Linked DNA regions of Stegostoma tigrinum. The protein of the gene in region 3 purifies or fractionates together with the protein of the main gene of each other region. This does not show direct contact. Links are inferred from orthologs where the notes say so. Each region holds a gene or a part of one and is shown on either strand. Other genes may lie near its edges. The genes, in order: TSC22 domain family protein 1-like, tsc22d2 and nuclear receptor-binding protein.

Evidence for each region.
Region 1: the proteins of nuclear receptor-binding protein (region 3) and TSC22 domain family protein 1-like purify together in Homo sapiens (affinity purification with mass spectrometry; 4 studies listed by BioGRID and IntAct, counting the BioPlex papers as one, with this or other methods). This does not show direct contact. The link is inferred for Stegostoma tigrinum from reciprocal best matches to the Homo sapiens genes NRBP1 and TSC22D3.
Region 2: the proteins of nuclear receptor-binding protein (region 3) and tsc22d2 purify together in Homo sapiens (affinity purification with mass spectrometry; 5 studies listed by BioGRID and IntAct, with this or other methods). This does not show direct contact. The link is inferred for Stegostoma tigrinum from reciprocal best matches to the Homo sapiens genes NRBP1 and TSC22D2.

The regions. Positions count from the first base shown.
Region 1 is NC_081365.1:74,892,679-74,896,700, reverse strand, and holds the start of TSC22 domain family protein 1-like, read right to left. Parts: upstream 2,896-4,022; 5' UTR 2,656-2,895; coding exon 2,531-2,655; intron 1,880-2,530; coding exon 1,828-1,879; intron 1-1,827. UniProt on the Homo sapiens protein: Protects T-cells from IL2 deprivation-induced apoptosis through the inhibition of FOXO3A transcriptional activity that leads to the down-regulation of the pro-apoptotic factor BCL2L11.
Region 2 is NC_081367.1:66,950,567-66,954,588, reverse strand, and holds the start of tsc22d2 (TSC22 domain family protein 2), read left to right. Parts: upstream 1-1,372; 5' UTR 1,373-2,461; coding exon 2,462-4,022. UniProt on the Homo sapiens protein: Reduces the level of nuclear PKM isoform M2 which results in repression of cyclin CCND1 transcription and reduced cell growth.
Region 3 is NC_081362.1:89,502,862-89,506,883, forward strand, and holds the start of nuclear receptor-binding protein, read right to left. Parts: upstream 2,925-4,022; 5' UTR 2,626-2,924; coding exon 2,458-2,625; intron 1-2,457. UniProt on the Homo sapiens protein: Required for embryonic development. Plays a role in intestinal epithelial cell fate and proliferation, thereby involved in the architectural development of the intestine potentially via the regulation of Wnt-responsive genes.

The DNA.
Region 1 (4,022 bases), on a different chromosome or scaffold from region 3:
TCCCCCCTTATCCTGTATACTTTCTCTCTATCTCCCCCCCCTTATCCTGTACACTTTCTCTCTATTCCTATCCCCCCCCCTTATCCTGTACACTTTCTCTCTATTCCTATCCCCCCCCCTTATCCTGTACACTTTCTCTCTATCTCCCCCCCCTTATCCTGTACACTTTCTCTCTATTCCTATCCCCCCCCCTTATCCTGTACACTTTCTCTCTATTCCTATCCCCCCCCCTTATCCTGTACACTTTCTCTCTATTCCTATCCCCCCCCCCTTATCCTGTACACTTTCTCTCTATTCCTATCCCCCCCCTTATCCTGTACACTTTCTCTCTATTCCTATCCCCCCTTATCCTGTACACTTTCTCTCTATTCCTATCCCCCCCCCTTATCCTGTACACTTTCTCTCTATTCCTATCCCCCCCCTTATCCTGTACACTTTCTCTCTATTCCTATCCCCCCCCTTATCCTGTACACTTTCTCTCTATTCCTATCCCCCCCCTTATCCTGTACACTTTCTCTCTACTCCTATCCCCCCCCCTTATCCTGTACACTTTCTCTCTATTCCTATCCCCCCCCCCTTATCCTGTACACTTTCTCTCTATTCCTATCCCCCCCCCCTTATCCTGTACACTTTCTCTCTACTCCTATCCCCCCCCCTTATCCTGTACACTTTCTCTCTATTCCTATCCCCCCCCCTTATCCTGTACACTTTCTCTCTATTCCTATCCCCCCCCTTATCCTGTACACTTTCTCTCTACTCCTATCCCCCCCCCTTATCCTGTACACTTTCTCTCTATTCCTATCCCCCCCCCCCTTATCCTGTACACTGCTTTTCTCCCTCTCTACTCCTGTCCCCCTTCTGCCTCGCTGCTCCTTCCGCTCCTGACAACTGCTGACGTCAGCGGGCCCCGCAGGCCGCGCCACGTCACGGGCAGGCAGCCAATGGGAGGCCGAGTTATTTTTAGCCCAGGGTTTAAGGTTCTGCGATCGCCTGGCAACAGGCGGAAGAGCAGCGGGGAGCAGCGTGCGCTCACTCACTCGCTCGCTCTCACCCAGGCTCGGGGCTCTCCACACACACACACACACACCACCGCTTAGAAATAAAAACCTTCAGACGCAACCCCTCATCGTTCAGAAAGTTTACAAACAAATGCGCCCAAACTACTCCGTACACCCGCCCCCATTAGGAACAAAAACCCCGGCTACCATAAACATTCCTGTGGGATGGTCCCGAGTGTGTTTATTACCAGCACAAACTGATCATGAAACATTCAGATCGAGCTAGGACATAATCCTCATCCCGCACGACTGCAAACTCGATAATACAGATGGATTGTTTACTTGCAACCCTGGCACTGAGAGGTGACTGAGAGATCGATGCACGGCACTGCGCAAGCAAGAAATACAACATTGCATCTGTTAGTGCCCCGGCTGCATGACCGCGGCATCAAATTAGTTCTTCGAGAAAATCATTTCGATTTTCTTTAAAGAGTGAACGAGGGCTCACATCTATGGATCAGCGAAGGCTGCTGCACACAGAACAAGTGTCTCACATTTACCTTGAACATCCATGCCATGAACAATGGGCAAAATACCCCTCTCCACAGAGGGCGAGCAGCCGAGTTCCTGACACTCTGGAGGATGTCCAATCTGCATTGTTACACCGGAGATTTCTGAATTCTTTCTGCCCCATTGCACGGTTGCACTGACGAATGCCTGGCCGATCCCCCACCACCCACATCCCCTCCCCTCCGTCCCTAAAAGGGTTTTGAGGTCTCTGAACTGATTTTAATACCTCTTTACTGTCGTTCGCTGCACAAACACTTACCATGGCTTGCTCGATTTTGTTGTCTATGGCTACCACACTGGCACCAGAAGAGCTGTAAAGAAACAAAAAAAAAGATTAAAGCAACAATCCCAGCTGGAAAAGAAAGCGAATGGAAGGCAAATACAGCAATCACGCCTACCAAGATCTAATGTACAGCCGTAACCCGATAATAGCTTTGTTTTTGTGTTGATTGATGCATTTTATTTACCCCCAGGCGCAGCAAACAGCGACCACTTGCAGGCGATGCAACACTTTGATTAATAATAATGCTTCAGCAAATAAGCTAAATCGGGATCTGGGTCAATCTGCAGGATTAAGCCTCAAAACAAAAAAAAGCCGAGACCTTCATTTTCTGCTGACTCTGGGGGTAGATGCCCCCACTGTAATGCGGCAAAATAACAAGCCTGGGAGACGACGCCAGCCATTTTTCCCTGCATTGATCTCCGCCAATATTTCCATAGGCACATACTGAGCAGCAAACCCAAGCTCCAGAGACATAGACAAGTTAAAATCATTTTCAAATGTCTCTGATTCCCCCAGAAAGAGCCAGAGATTTCACATCAGCTGTCAGCGCCTTCAGCACCGTTGACTGTTGCAATGCAAATGATATTTCGGTATACCATATCTGCCTAGCTTCAAATGAAACCCAACCAACCTCTAGCCGTTGCAAAAACAAAAAAAAAATCCAACAACCGACATTTACCTACTGTCTAATTTTACGGAGGCGTTTTCTGTTCCGAGCAAAGAGGAGAGAAATGAAATCGAGAAATTTCTCAGCTGGTAAACCCCAAGCTCCATCGCCAGTGACTTATAATATTCAGCATTCATGCTATTCCAGAGCAAAAATGAGTGAAGAAACGGGAGCTTTTCGTTTGCAGCCTTGGTGAGCCGGCGTGGTAAAGAGAAACGCTATTGCTGAAGGCTAGATTTTGTGAATTTTGCAGTGAAACGGCAATGTACTGTAGAAACCTTGGAGAGCCACCTCGACAGCGCTCCACAAAGAAAGCTTGTGATGCTCACAAACAGATCTTCGCTGCTGCTTCTCACCACAAAACCCTCAGCACTCTCATCAGCATAATGTATGTACAGGAACGCCCAGCAGCCCCGCCGCTATAGGCTCACCTGATCAGATTAACATCATATCTACGAATATATTAACACTGAGGAACACCCAGCAGCAGGCACGAGGTCCAGGGAGGAGAGGGAGGAGATGGTTTGCGGGGGGGAGCGGGGGGAGGGGATGTGAGTTGGTGGGGGGAGTAGGAGAGAATCAGATAATGGTTGGGAATCAGATAGGGAGGAGGATCAGGTTGGAGAGGTGGAAGGGGGGGGAATAATATTCAATATTTTTCAGACTGGAGGCCTGTGACCAGCGGTGTGCCACAAGGATTGGGGCTACATCCACTGCTTTTCGTCATTTATATAAATGATTAGAATGTGAACATAAGAGGTATGGTTAGTAAGTTTGCAGAATTGGATGTGTAGTGGACAGCAAAAGTGACCTCAGGAGTACAACAGGCTCTTGAACAGATGAGCCAGTGGGTAGCAGATGGAGTTTAATTCAGATAAATGCCAAGTGCTACATTTTGAAAAGGCAAGTCAGGGCTGGACTTATACGCTTAATGTAAGGTCCTGGGGGGTGTTGATGAACAAAGAAACCTTGGGGTACAGGTCCATATTTCCTTGAAAGTGGGGTCACAGGTAGACAGGGTGATGAAGGCAGTGTTCGGTATGCTTACCTAGAGTGGTCAATGCATTAAGTTCTGATGGTCATTGGACCTGAAACGTTAACTCTTGATCTTTTCTTCACAGATGTTGCTAGACCTGCTGAACTTTACCAGCAAGTTTGTTTTGTTCATTGAGTTTAGGAGTTGGGAGATCATGTTGTGGCTGTGCAGGACAATGGTCGGGCCACTTTTGGAATACTGCATGCAATTCTGCTCTCCCTGCTATAGGAAGGATGTTGTGTAGCTAGAAAGGATTCAGAAAAGATTTATAAGAATGTTGGCAGGATTGGACAGTTTGAGCGAAAGAGAGAGGCTGGATAGGACAGAGCTATTTTCCTTGGAGCAATGGAGGCTGAGGGGCGACCTTATAGTGGTTTATAAAATCATGAGGGGCATGGATAGGATAAATAGGCGATACCTGTTCCCCAGGGTGGGGGGAGTCCAAAACTAGAAGGCGTAGGTTGAAGG
Region 2 (4,022 bases), on a different chromosome or scaffold from region 3:
CACGAGAATGTCGTATTGAATAAATTTAAGGAGATAGACAGATTTTGGGCTGCATGGTTGCTCGGTCGTTAGCGTTGCAACCTCACAGCACCAGGAACCCGGGTTCAATTTCAGCCTTGGATGATTTTCTGTGTGTAGTTTGCGCATTCTCCGTGTCTGTATGGGTTTTTGCCAGGTGCCTCGGTTTCTCTCCCACTGTCCAAAGATGTGCAGGTTAAGTAGATTGGCTATGCGAAATGGCCTTATAGAGTCCGGGGATATGCACAGAAACAACAGCTTATCTGTATTAGCTATAGAAAATGCAGGGGTACTGGGATGGGGGTGGGCCTGAGTGGGATGCTCTTTGCAGGGTTGGTTCAGACTTCATGGATTGAATGGCCTCTTCCTGCACTATGATTTTTAATTGGCAGCAAGTTGAAGGGTTGTGGGGAGCACGCAGGAAAATGAAGTTAAAGCCAAGTAAGGAGATCTGCCATGATTCTTATGGTATGGTGGTGCGAGCTGAATTGCCTCCTCCTGCTCCTCACTCTTAATAACAAAGTGTGAAGCTGGATGAACACAGCAGGCCAAGCAGCATCTCAGGAGCTGCTGGGCCTGCTGTGTTCATCCAGCCTCATATTTTATTATCTGGGATTCTCCAACATCTGCAGTTCCCATTATCACTGATACAATTTTAACCTCACTCTTAATGCTCTCCTCACAGTCCACAACTACCCCAAGTTTATTGCCATCTGCAAACTGTAACCCATAGTCCAGTTCATTAAACCTCCCACTGGGACTGGGCTGAAGCAATTAGTTCCTCGGTGCAGGGAATGCACTACCCCGACAGACAACCCTAATGCCTGATACACAAAGTTGATACAGTGGGGCGAGGGAAGTCGACGTCAGCGCGCTGTGTGATGCGTGAGCACGTTCCCAGGATGCCGTGCGGTGGCGCGGCTGCCATCTTGGTTTGAGTGCAGTCACAGAGAGAGAGAGAGAGAGAGAAGCTGCTGGGGCTGCGTGTGTCTGAGACACGCAGGCAACCGTGACCCGACCCCCCATCATAAATAAAGGAGAAAATAACCGAGCCTGTAATCCTCCTCCATCCCGCTACCCCCTCCCCAACTCTCCCCCATCTTGTGGTGGTGAAGGGAAAGGGGCCCACTTGCTGCTGTGCTGAAGGCCCCGGGTCCAAAGGCAGCTCCCTCCCTCCCTAACCTCCTGCGAAGGGAAGAAGGCGAATGGCAGCGCTCGGCAGCTCCGGCTTGTGAACACATCCCGCCCTCTTTTCCACCCGTCTTTTCATCCCGAGGAGGGGTAGGCACCCCCATCCTCCGCCTCCTCCCCTTTCCCTCTCCTACCCCCCCCCCCACCCCAGCCTGAGGAGGTGCGGCGAAGAGTAGGCGGGGGGGGGGTGTCTGGGGAAGGGGGTGCGGGGTTTGCTCAGGGACCAGACAAATTCGCCGCTGGATCTGCGACACGGGCCTTGGGCCGGTCACCCCCACTCCCCCCCCCCCCTCCCTTCTTGTAGGGGAGGGAGGGCAAGACGAACGAGAGGAGGAAGGAAGAGAAAGAAAGGGCGAGAGTGTCACTGCTGCTTGTTCTGGACAGGACCTGACTGGGCTCTCAAAACCCCGGGGCTTTTGCTTTCTCCATTCGACCAGAAGCAGCTCCTCTCTCCTCCCCCTCTTCTCACTCACTCTCTGCATTTCATCGACCTGTGTGCAAAGAGTCAGAAGAAAAGAATCTGAAGGATATAATTGGGAGTTGAGTTTTTGAGGGGAGGGAGGGTTTTTTTCTCTCTTCCCTTCTATGAACAAGAGGACCTGGGTGAGCAGCCCGCAGTGCTTATAACTAGAAGGAAGATGGTGTGTCGTGGTGACTAATGAGAAGGAGCTCGGAGTCATCCACACGTTGCTAAAAGTGCGACCGTTCCCTGCAGAAGGAGGAAAAGTAAAGCGAGGATAACGACTGAAGTGCCAGAGTGGGAGGAAAGAAGTAGAATTCTTCATATCTTCTCTTCGAAAGGATGTTTAGGTTGTAATCGAAGCAGACATGGCTTGCTTCAAACGTTGTTCCCAACGGTGTTAATTCATCGTTTTTCCTGGGTGTGAGGTGTTGAAAAGGAAGGAAGGAAAGAAAGAAAGAACCTCTTTACAGAACAATCTACGAACTCTGAAGATTTACTTTTATTTCCTTAATTCAAAAGAAAAAGAGAACTTAATTTTTTCTCTCATTGCACGGATATTACCAACGCAACGAGAAAATGATCTATTCGAACTGTGAATTGTCAGAAAAAAGGTTAGCTTTTTTTTAAAAAGAACTTGTGAACTGAATTACAAACTACAGACTTGCTGCGGCGGCGAAGGGAAGGAGAGAGGCGTGAAGGTAAAAAAAGGTTCGACGCTCTTTCCTCCCTCCCTCCCCCCCTCTCTCTCTATGTATATACATATATCTATATTTTTGTGAATTGTTCAAAATGCCGGTTAAAAAGAAGAGCGGTTTCCAGATCACCAGCGTGACCACGGCTCAGGTAGCGGCTAGCAGCATCACTGAGGACACAGAGAGCCTGGACGACCCGGACGAGTCCCGCACCGAGGACATCTCCTCGGAGATATTCGACGTGTCCTCCCGGGCCACCGACTACGAGCACGGCGCCGAGGTCTGTGACCGTAGCTCTTCGGACGAGACCCTCAACAACGTGGGCGATGCCGACACCCCCGGCGCCACCTCGCCCAATATCCCTCACGATCGGGACGTGGTGGCTCAGGCTTTCGGAGGGCGGCTGCCGGCGGCCGGGGGGACGGTGGCGAGCCCCGGACAGCCTCCGGGAGCCACCCCTCCTCCGTCCAGCTCCGGCAGCGGCACTTCCAGCGGCGGCCCGCTCACCATGCAGCCGGCGGTGGCTTGCACCTCCCGCTTCAGGGTCATCAAACTGGACCACGGCTCGGGCGAGCCCTTCCGCAGAGGCCGCTGGACCTGTACCGAGTTTTACGACCGAGACTCTGACGGTACCGTCCTGGCCCGGTCGGCCGACACCATCCGACACAACAGCACCACCGCCTTGGAGCAGCAGCAGCAACAACAGGCCGGAGATAGGGACAGCGGCCTCGGAGCCACCAACAGCTCGCTCATCCTCCCCACCCTGCACGCCACAGAGTCCCTGGCAGACGCTTCCCTCGGCTCCACTGTCACGCAGTTGGCCCAAGCCGAGCTGATCGCCCAGCACCAAAGTTTCTCCAAAGGACTGCAACCAGCAGGCGGCCTGCCGGTCTCACAGGCTGCCTCCTCCACTCAAATTTACAGCACCCCCGCTGTGGCTGGCCAGCACCATCAGTCACAGGTGAACCTGCACGCCGGCCTCAATGGCAAGGCCCTGCTTGCCCCTGGCGGCCCACTTCCTCAGCAGACTGCTCACATCCCCGCTTCCCAGTCTCAGCAATTCCAGTTTTCTCCGAGCCAGGCTCCACACTTGCTGCCGTCTCAATCCACCGTGGCGAATAGCCACACAGAGTACATGCAACATCTGCCTGTCATGCAGGGTCCAGGAGCTTCACCGGGAGCAGTAGCTCACAGCGCTGCAACGACAATCCTACCTGCCGGGCAAGCGACGAGTCATGGTCCTTCGCCAGTGTTGCAGTCTTCTGTCAGTGGAGTCCAAGTGTCGGCTCAGAGCTGTGATTTGGTCAGTCAAGGGATACAGAATATCCAGACGGGTCCTACGCAGGGGCTGATGTTGCAGCAGCAAGGCTTGGGGTCATCTGGTGTTCAGCAACAACTTTTAACCCAACAGCACCAAGCTTCTGGTCTCCAGTCTGGGATGGTTAGTCAGGTGTCTGGATTGACCAGTGTGGCAGCTGGCATCCAAAATGTGCCTAGTACTGGTGTTTCAAGTGTGTCTGCTGGTGTGCCCAGTGTGCCAGCCACTTCAGTTACTATGCCAAGTGTTCCAGTGACCATGGGTCAATCACAGCTAAGTGGCCAGGCACCAATGGCCGGGAGTAGCGGCCTAATGCAAAGTTCCCTCAATGTATCTTCAA
Region 3 (4,022 bases):
ATGCCTATCTAGGGTATCTGCCATCAACAAATTTCAAGCCCAATAAACTCCTCACCATTCCAAACCGACATTACATATTTGATGGAATAAATAGAATCTCCCTCTCTCATGTATACCAGGCTTTTGAGGACTATATATGGAAATGGCAGATGTTGAGAAAACATGTCTTGAGAAACAGCTGCACCTTCTATGAAAAAAGAAGCATGACACCAGAATCCAATTTCTAGCCGTGTAAAAGATATTATACTGGCAAGCCAGCATTCTTCTAATAAAGGAACTAAAAATGGACAAGAAAAACATTTAATTTTTGCTTTTTTGCAAGTTGCATTACTTATCAGATTAACAGCTTTCACAGTTCAGATATAAACCAGTCACAGATACCAAGTCGTCTGATATATATCACCAGCTTATATTACTTCAAGTTATAGAATCAGAGTTTGAGAGTGTGGAAAAAGATCCTCCAGTCCATTATGTCCATGATGGCATTCAAGTACTTATCTATTTTAATCCAATTTTCCAACACTTAACCCATAACCTTGTATGTTCTGGCATTTCACGCACTCATCTAAATAGGTGAAGTTGTCACACTTCCTGAGGACCATAGGGTTGCTTTTTCAGTTTAATGAGGGTCACCAAGCCTCAGGTGAGGGGCAAGATTGCAAAGCTGGCACCTTCATGGCAACCTCAGCTGGTGTCAGAATGGAACCCACACTGCTGGCATCATTCTGTATCAGACAGTCATCCAGCTTAATACTCAATTACTGGTTGTTTCCTGTTTCTACCACCCTTTTAAGCAGTGAATTCCAGACACCTACCACCAACTGAATGAAAAGAAATTCTTCAAATCCCCCAAAACAGAGAATAAGAGCCAGAGTAGGCCATTTAGTTCTTTGAGCCTAGTCTGCCATTCAGTACAGTTGTAGTTGATCATTGCACTCAGTACACTGTTTCCATGTTCTCTCCAAGACCTTGGATTTATTTGGCCTGTGGCTACTGAGCCCCCTAAGGAAAACAAGATTCTTCATCTATATCCTATCCAGAACCCTGAGAACCTCATACACATTAATCAGATTTCCCCTCAACATTTACTCAGAAGGGGGAGGCAATGGCCTAGTGGTGTTATTGCTGGACTGTTAACCTACGAATCCATTATCAATCATCAGAAAAGCCCATATGGTTCACTAATGTCCTTTCGGGATGGAAATCTGTCATCCTTACCTGCCCTGGGCTACATGAGACTTCAGACTCACAGCAAAATGGTAGATCCTTAACAGGCCTCTGAGCAATAAGCACTGGCCTAGCCAGTGACACCCTCATTCTGTAAGTGAATAAAAAGGAACCTATACTCTAAGGAAAACAACTCAACCTATCTAGTCTATCGCCACAGCTAAATACTGACAGACAAGGTGAACTGTGGCAGGTAGATTTCAATGTAAACATGTGTGAGCTTATCCATCGTGGACCAAAACAAAATGAGGGCACTAACTACATAGTATGAAGTTAAATACAGTAGATATCCAGAAAATTGCAGTTCAGGTGTTTTTAAAGCGCCGTGAACAGGTGCAGAAAGTTATCAAGGCAACTAATGACAAGTTGACCTTTATATCTAGAAAGCTGGAGTATAGGGGTGCAAAAGGAATGTTGCAGCCATACAAACCCCTGGTTAGACTCCACTTTAATGATTCTCAGCAGATCTGGGCACCATGCCTTAAGAAAAGGAAATTGGTCTTGGGAGGAGTACATTGTGGGTTTACAAGAATGATACCTGGATTCAGGGTTTAAGATATGAGGACAGTTAGAAAAATTAGGCCTATTTTTCTAGAATTTAGAAGGTTAAGGGTGAACTCAAAGATAATAACAGTAACAGACAAACAAATACTTTTACTGGTTGGGGATTATAGGACTTTAGGAGCATGCTCTAAAAATTACAGTCAGACCATTCAGGAGTAATGTTAGGAAGCACTTCTACCCAGAAAGGACTAGAGGGGTTCGGTACACTCCACAAATAACAGCCGATGCTGGATCAGTTGTTTGTTTGAAATCTGAGATAGTTTATTTTCATTAGGCAAAAGTATGAAGGCCAAAAGCAGGTGTATGGAGTTAGGGCAGAGGTCAGCTTCGAATGGCGGAACAGGTTCAAGGGGCTGAATGGCCTACTCCTATGAACCGTTCCATCTCAGCCCGGACATCATGCTAGTGAATCTACTCTGCAAACCCACTACTGCAATCACATCGTTCCTGTCTTCAACTTGTAAACTAAAAAAGTGCGATGCAAAAAGCACAAGCTACTGGCAAGCTTTATTGCATTTCTTTTTTCTTAAGAAAAGAGGAAACATGGGTTTGAAACGCCTGTTAAAGGCGAGTTAGCACTGGGGAAAGGACGAATCACCCTGTCAGAAGGGGTCTCTGCCCTCTTATCCCCCGCCCCGCAAATCTCCCTCTTCAAAAGGAGCTCACCTCCTCCCGTCGCTTCTGCCAGCGGCCACACGGACTCTCCTCCAGGATCTCGCTCTCGTCCTCGCTCTCGTCCTCCTCTTCGTCGTCCACCTCGGCGGCCGCATTCATGGCCTCAGCCGCCTTGTCCACCACTGCGGCTACAGCGGCCGCCTTCTCGCCTTCCGACATCTCCCCCCTCTCCCCACAAAACCTGGAGAGACACTCAGGGGCCGGAGACCGGATGGAGAGAGCGGAGAGGGGGCGGGGATAGGTGAGACACCGACAACTCCTTGTCGAATGATTGAAAATCAATTCCACTTTCTGGGGACGGGTACCATTGAAGATACAGGAAGCTTTCTACAAGATCGTCCGATTTCTTCCCTTTGATCCCACTTGGAAGTTAAATTCTCCTCAGCCCCACGTTTAATGGCGACCATTGACCAGCGACTCCATTCGCTCGAGCTCTCAAGCCACCCCGCCCACTTCCCCCTAGGCGACAGTTTGACAGATAGCGGGCCAGACCAATAGAAACCCGGGGCGGGTACAGGGCTCGCCACCCTGCCCACATTCCCAGGCAACGCTTTGATGGACAGCGGATCTTACCAATAATCGCACGAAGTGATGGAGAACGGTGCCACAACGACGCAGTTCGCGCCGGTGACGGTCCAACGACGTCGGAACGGGCCAATCAATGCCTGGCGTGTGGTATGCGGAGCCACAGCTGCCCACGTTCCCCTCAGCGGACGGTTTGACATGGTGATATTGACCAATCAGAGCCAGGTGCGCGTGGCGGCGTAGTAACGGTCACGTCACGCGCGTTACTAATGACGTTTGGGCACAGCCTAACGCGCGCTAGGACCCGACCCGATTGGAGGGATTCAACAGCCTCCTGGTAACGTCTTTGACCAATAGATACCCGTCGATTGATATTAGTGACGGCCCAACAGCCAATGGAATCCGGGAGGGCGGAGACGAGTGGAAGGAAAGTTTCGTATGTCTGGGTAAGGTCAAAATCTACACGACACCAGGTTATACACCGTGATAATGGGAACTGCAGATGCTGGAGAATCCAAGATAACGAAATGTGAGGCTGGATGAACACAGCAGGCCCAGCAGCATCTCAGGAGCACAAAAGCTGACGTTTCGGGCCTAGACCCTTCATCAGCCCATGTCCATCATGGGCCTCCTGCAGTGCCACAATGATGCCACCCGAAGGTTGCAGGAACAGCAACTCATATTCCGCTTGGGAATCCTGCAGCCCAATGGTATCAATGTGGACTTCACCAGCTTCAAAATCTCCCCTTCCCCTACTGCATCCCTAAACCAGCCCAGTTCGTCCCCTCCCCCCACTGCACCACACAACCAGCCCAGCTCTTCCCCTCCACCCACTGCATCCCAAAACCAGTCCAACCTGTCTCTGCCTCCCTAACCTGTTCTCCCTCTCACCCATCCCGAGCTGCACCTCCATCTCCTACCTACTAACCTCATCCCACCTCCTTGACCTGTCCGTCTTCCCTGGACTGACCTATCCCCTCCCTACCTATGCTCTCCTCTCCACCTATCTTCTTTTCTCTCCATCTTTGGTC